Linked DNA regions of Danio rerio. The protein of the gene in region 1 purifies or fractionates together with the protein of each later gene. This does not show direct contact. Links are inferred from orthologs where the notes say so. Each region holds a gene or a part of one and is shown in the gene's direction. Other genes may lie near its edges.

Evidence for each region.
Region 2: the proteins of mtmr9 (region 1) and atp5if1b purify together in Homo sapiens (affinity purification with mass spectrometry; 5 studies listed by BioGRID and IntAct, with this or other methods). This does not show direct contact. The link is inferred for Danio rerio from reciprocal best matches to the Homo sapiens genes MTMR9 and ATP5IF1.

Annotation. Positions count from the first base shown.
Region 1 is NC_133195.1:21,422,183-21,426,023, forward strand, and holds part of mtmr9 (myotubularin-related protein 9), read left to right. Parts: intron 1-1,376; coding exon 1,377-1,518; intron 1,519-3,841. UniProt on the Homo sapiens protein: Acts as an adapter for myotubularin-related phosphatases. Increases lipid phosphatase MTMR6 catalytic activity, specifically towards phosphatidylinositol 3,5-bisphosphate and MTMR6 binding affinity for phosphorylated phosphatidylinositols.
Region 2 is NC_133192.1:25,996,676-25,999,901, forward strand, and holds atp5if1b (ATPase inhibitor B, mitochondrial), read left to right. Parts: upstream 1-1,391; 5' UTR 1,392-1,457; coding exon 1,458-1,526; intron 1,527-2,040; coding exon 2,041-2,153; intron 2,154-2,304; coding exon 2,305-2,446; 3' UTR 2,447-2,657; downstream 2,658-3,226.

The DNA of each region.
Region 1 (3,841 bases):
ACACATGATTTTGGTTTTATTTAAAATAAACAAAACAAGAATTCATGTTAAATGAAAATCTGAAATATTTTGTGGCATACTTCACAAAATAAAGATGATTTCAAGTGTTAACACTTAGATATTAGATGATAATACTAGCAGGTTTGGCATGCTGTCCCGGGAGAGTACCCTGAGCGTGGAAATAATTGAACCCAGGGCTCCCGCCTGTTCAATGAGCATGTGAGTGGGTACGAGATCAGGTAGTTCTCGAAAGCTCCCCCTTAGTATAGGAGGAAAAGTGGAGATGGGGTGGATGGGGGATTCTTCAAAAAATAAAGATGAGGGAGTAATGCATGTCAGTCTATTTTTTGTGAGTTTGAAATGATCCGATTGGCTTACAATTGATTACTGATGTGAGACCCGCTGCGATCAATAATATCACATGCTCCCCTCAAAATTAGTTTGTGAAATTTCACTTAGTATTCAAAAAATGTTTTATTTTGATTAAATAAATAATTAATAAATAAATAATTTTCAAATAAATTGGTCTTATACTTTATATTTTCATATTTTTTATAGTATATGTATTAATTCCGGTACTTTTACCATAAACCAACATATCTACCATTTGGTAGAGGTTAATATTTTAGAAATTATAGCATGTGTTGAAAAAAATGCCTATTGTTTGTTAACTAGCGACATTAGGAGTTAAGAAATGCAATCCAAAAAATTGCAATCCAAAAAATGCTTTCTTGGTGGGGCAGTTAAAGGCTAGTTCACCCAAAAATGTAAGTTCTGCCTTCATTTACTCATCATTCATCATTTACTGGTCAGGCATGTCATTCGACAAACTGTACGATTCCTTTATCGGTTAATCATAAATTTAGCCTTTTTATTTTGCTTTTGTGTTTCAGTTTTACATTTAAAACTTTGCTGAATACATATCCTTAGATATTTTCCAACTAGCTAAAGCCAAAATAGGAGTTTGTCTTTTCTCCCCGTGTTTGCGTAGGTTTCCCCTACAGTCCAAAGTCCTCCGCTATAGGTGAATTGAATAAGCTAAATTGGCCATAGTGTATGTGTGTGAATGAGAGTGTATGGGTGTTTCCCAGTGTTGTGTTGTGGCTGGAAGGGCATCCGCTGCATAAAACATATGCTGGATAAGTTGACGGTTGCCAAAAAAAAATGAATGAACGAATAAAAAAAAAAAAAAAAAAATATATATATATATATATATATATATATATATATATATATATATATATATATATATATATATATATATATATATATATTATTTAGAGTAAATAATGACTGAACTATTTTTTAACAATCTCTGAAATGTTTTTTTATTTTCCCTCTCCATTGATCATGTGTATTTTTGTGGTGTTCTGTAGGGAAGGGGCGTCAGTGCTGGTTCATGGCTCAGAGGGCACAGATTCAACACTTCAGGTGACGTCTCTTGCCCAGATCATTCTCGATCCCGCATGCAGAACTATCCGGGGATTTGAGGCGCTGATTGAGCGAGAGTGGTTACAGGTGAAACGGTTTTATTGATATATTTTTTGGATGTATATGAAACGAAATAATGCTATGAATAAAAAGCCAAAGCGGCCACTAGGTGGTGCTAGACGAGTAAGTCTTCATTCAGAAAGGAAACTGCTGTACAGTACGTTCTTTGGAGATTTACATTCAATTTAATTCAAGTTTATTTGTATAGCGCTTTTCACAATAATTGTTTCAAAGCAGCTTTACAAAAGGTGACATAATTACATTACATCAAAATCAGAAAAGTTAATATTGTTGGTTACTATAACTTTATTACCACTAGTATAGTGCCATTAGTTACTGAAAGCCCTTTACTTTTGTCTATTCTGCTGTGCTTTTATAGCTTAAAGCAAAGACAATACTGTATCTAAAATATAATTACTTTTGCTATTCTGGACAACAACAGCACTCAATTAAGTATTTATGAACTTGATACTTGTGATGTATCTTAAAACCAGAAATTCATACGGAGCACTTTTTGCCCCTAGTGTTTAACGTTTTATATCCATAATGCTATTCTTCTAGCTCCTGCCCAAAAAATTGTTCTTTCGCATCACATTTATCATGAGTCAACTATATTATGACTTGCTGGGGCAGGTGTGTTCATTTTTCCATAACCGATTAATCAAATTAGTATATTGAGTCAACAGCCATGATATCTAATTTGTGTACTTCTTTACCATGCAAAAGCCAGTACATTTGTTCTTAAAATGAAATTTATATTTTCTTTCAACAAAAATGTATTAGATTTCTCGATTAAATTGTATCAAATTAATTGTAATAAGGTTACAGGAAATATATTTAGAAAATTACTAAAGGTTTACATTTCAAATAAATGCTTCTCTATTCCTGCTCTGTTTAGACATGATCCTGAAAATGTATTACATCAACTTTAAATCACCGGAATAAATTAAATTTTGAGATAAATTTTAATTTATATTAAACCATTAGACTGTTTCACAATATTCCTGATGTTACTCCATATTATAAAAAAAAAAAATACAAATAAACCAGGGCTATTCAATTAGTTTGTCATGGGGGCCGGTTCATAAAAAGCATCCCAAACGAAGGGCCGGAGAGATATAACCTGCTATATGAGTGATGACACAACTGCATATAAGAGCCCATATGCTGTAATTGTGCTCATAAAGACACCCACGTTGGCTTTTTCTACATTAAAATGTGAATATATTGTATTTTAAAACAACATAATTTAAAAAAATATATTTTAAAATGATTTTTTATAATTTTTTTTTTAATAAACATTCAAATGTTGCATTTCAGAGCACAACAAAAGCAGTGCATTCTTGAAGTATGGCTTTTTCTACATTCAGACACATTCATATGTTATGTTTTGAACTGCATAACAATTAGGGATGCAACAATTATAGATTTTGGTTGATAATTATAGTCTGAAGAATAATCATGGTTTCACCGTTATCACATCTAATGTAAATTCAAGTTTTATATTAGGTAAGTAGCCATTTAGATGAACTGTTGTTGCCATCTGCGTTCATACATACATAATCATTTTAATAATAATTCGTCTAACATATCTTTTTTTTACACTGCACTGAAAGGCACGCACAACTCTCACCGTGAGATGTTTTCTACTGCGTGCGCCCGGAAAGACGCGAGCGCGTTGCTCCGATTGTGCGCACATATTGTCATACTTACATTAGCAATAATAAAATAATAAACGTGATATGGGAACTTCCACTGCTATAGTTAATCGGGTGTGCGTGCATATTAGCCTCGGTGTACATAGCCTACTTGGAACTTTAAACTAGCCCACAGGTGACAACTTGTCATAACTTTTCCTTGCAACAGAAATGCGGCTTAGAGAAGCCTTTACGGTTCAATAACTGTGACGAATTAAAGAGCAGTTAATAGTGAAATCATCTAATTGTTGTATCCCTATTAACAATTACAGTGAGAGGCATTTTCTACAAAACATATCTAAATGTTTCCGGCTGTCCGCACCACTCGCGTGTGGTAACTCACGCTCTGCGCAGCCTCTGCAGCTCGCGCTGTAATGAACAGACAGACGCACGTCACTTCATAACTAAAGCGGCTGTTTTTCGACTGAACAAAATTTAATTTTGATGTCTTGGTCACACTATTTGGAAGGCCGGAACAAACTGCCTCGGGGGCCGGGTTTGGCCCATGGGCCGCCAATTGAATAGCGATGAAATAAACCTTTGCATGGTAATGCGTGGTCATCAAAATTTTACTTTTTTAAAATTATGTTCAATGTCTGAGAGACATTTGTGTGTGTGTTTTCTTGATTAAAAAATGTTTCATATTGTCATAT
Region 2 (3,226 bases), on another chromosome or scaffold:
TGTCCTTCCCATTTTTAAAATTTCCATTCATAAGTGTTTTGAGTTTTTCATTTGTTTGTTCTCGCCCTGTAGGAAAAAGTTTTCTGTTTGCTTCAATGGAGATGAGATGGTCATGACCTTTGTTAAGTTTGCTTGTTTCAGTATGCCTTTTACAGCTGTTCTCTTTTAATTTGTCTTTTAATTTATTAATTTTAAAGGATGAATTGTCCCCTCTGGATTGTTACACCCATTCATTTTGTTAGAGAGAGGTGAAAGCATTACACAGGAGAACTCTGCATTATATGAAACCAAGACATCCCATGAGAACCATGTGTACCTAAAATAACCAGAATGAGTATTTAGATGTTATATACCACCCAATGAGACCACTGCTCAGAACTTGAACGACTAAATAAGGCCAACTGAAATGTCCGATTCTTTCTAAATATTTTTTGTTGTCTTTATTCTAAAACCAAAAAGGGGTTCTGTAAATATTTTTTTTTGTGTGAAATGTGAGCACTCTTAAAGGGCAAGTGTGATTTTGAATATTTAATGAGTAGTTTAGAAATCTTGTTTTATAATTTAGTACATTTTCTCTCTGTGCCTGAGTGTGCAAGAATGTTGCAATGAGAATGTGTGGAAACGTTTCCCTCTGCTGTTTTCTTAATGAATTTAAACTGACTGGTATCTAAGTTTTACTGGTTGGAACTTATGAGGATTTAGTTGGCTGCTTAATTTGGCATACAATCTTGTAAAGAATTTTGAAGATTTTACTTTGAATGATATGTTAAAGGCTCAGAGCGGAGTAGTAGGGTCTTGAAGAGTCAATGAAATGGCCACCTGATGAAAATTAGCCCTGAACTGTAGGCTACAAATACTTTGTGAAATAGCAGTGGGATCACACAACCCACAAAAAAATATGTCTTTTGACTTCTGGAGTGATTGGACAGGAATGATTAACTTTTGCATCACTAAGAATAAAATATATCACTGCAATGTTGGTTCATTTTTTGCTCTGATAATCATTTTATTTGTACATATTTTCTAGAGAAAAACAAATAAGTAGTTTTGATTTACCTAAGTTTTGCTTACAGTATTTTATTTAACAAGATATATTTGCTCTAAACCTGCAGAGAGAGAACCAAATTAGAAAACAACGCTGTGTAATATGTCGCCAAATGTGACAGGAAGAGCGCCGCGCACGTCTGATCAGCGACTGACGAATGTACCATTATAAGTAACAACAAAAACTCCTAACACCCTATACGTTTCCAGCTTTTTAGTAATATATTTAAAATAATACGTCGACGTACTTTAGCTAATTAACAAAAAATTACACTTGGGTAGCTGCGAATATGAGTGAGATTTAGACAGCGCTCACCTATATTGCTACAGTAATGGTACGTTCCTGTTTTGAGTCGACGTTACAGACAGCAGCTCACGCTCATGTCAGTGCATGTGTTAACACCTGAACAAAAATGGCTAGGTTTCTGAACAGCAATATCAGGAAGTTCTTAACAACACAGATCAGGATGTCGTCCGATCAGGTAGATATTTATATGATATTTCGCCCAGTGACTTTCCGTAGCCTGCCAAAGACAAAGATGATTTGACTAATTCTAGTGCTATGTACTGTAACACGCAGTGTCACTCGCAATCTGTTCTCAAGTACTACGTTAGCTTTGACTTTGTCTTAATGTTATCATATGTTAGTTTTACGTTTTAAATACTAAGTTATCAAAATTTGTCAACACCGAACCGTTTTAACGCAATAAATAGATTTGAGGGTGCCCTTGTGTTGTGACCCTTTGTTTACATTCAGGAAAGTTCTGCAATCTTTGTCCTTCATCAGCAAGACTTGCTTTTACAGGATATATATATATATATATATATATATATATATATATATATATATATATATATATATATATATATATATATATATATATCCATATATACACGGTGCTTGTCAGCCTATCAGTCACTAATTACTAGTTGAGTAATAAATTGTTTTGTTTTGTCTTGTGCAACCTTCTCTCTCTCTTTCTCTCTCTGATAAAGTTAGGTGAACTGGGTAAAGGTGCTGGGAAAGGAGGTGGTGGTGGAGGTGCCGTGAGGCAGGCTGGAGGTGCATTTGGCAAGAAACAGGCCGCTGAGGAGGAGATGTACTTCAAGTGAGTGGTTTTGCTTGAGCTGATAATTATGTAATTGCTTATACTTGATATCTACTGGCCATTAGCTGAGTATTATTGAAAAAATAACTGAATGTAAAGCAACCTAAACCGTTACTTCATGACCTATTCTGTCATTGTATTTCCTTCACAGGAGAAAAGAGCAAGAACAGCTGTCTGCTCTGAGAAGACACCACCAGGAAGAGATTGACCATCACAAGAAGGAAATCGAGAGATTACAGCATGAGATCACCCGCCACGAGAGCAAAATCAAGAAACTCAAACATGATGACTGAGGCATTAAGACAGAAAATACAACACATGAATTGTGAAACTGCTGAATATTTGTAATTGCTTATTTACTAAACAGTGAACTCTGTGATTATACTATTATAAAAGCATGTTATAATACAGATATGGTTATATAACTGAAACAACACATTGTGTATTAACCCAGTGCATTTTCCCTCTTTTGACAATAAACAAGAAATTGTCTCGAATGTAAAAGTGTGTCTTGGTATCAATACGTTTGGTGAAAGCTAACTATTAGCTAAACTAACTAAAGCTAACTATTGGTTTGAGAGCTAAATGTATCTTAACTGTTACTTTCAGTCATATAAATAGGTTATGTCATCTGACCAGACAATTAAAGGTTCTGACACCAATGAATGACCCAATATTGTATAAATATGAGATATATTAAAATATGCCGTAATGCTGGGTTTCAGGATCAGATTGAGAAACACTGCTTTAGAAAATGTTCGAGACAACACTTCTTTATTATTATATTTTTAATATTTTAAAGGCGTTGTAGCTCATTGGAGCCCAGCTGATGGCAGTAGACATAAATAACAGGCATTACAAACGTCCTCTGAAGAACAGCTAATCCTAACGTCATTTCCGATGACGCGAAAGCTCCGCCCTCGCCCCTGTCTTTTACGCCAGGCGGCCCCGCGTGTCTTTCTTTTCCCACATCATGGCGGACCGATTCAATAAGGTGCGTTCGAGTGGCACAATTTACATTCTCATATCTCGCGTTTCCTCGCCGTGGGAATGTAGTATTTGGTGGTTTATAA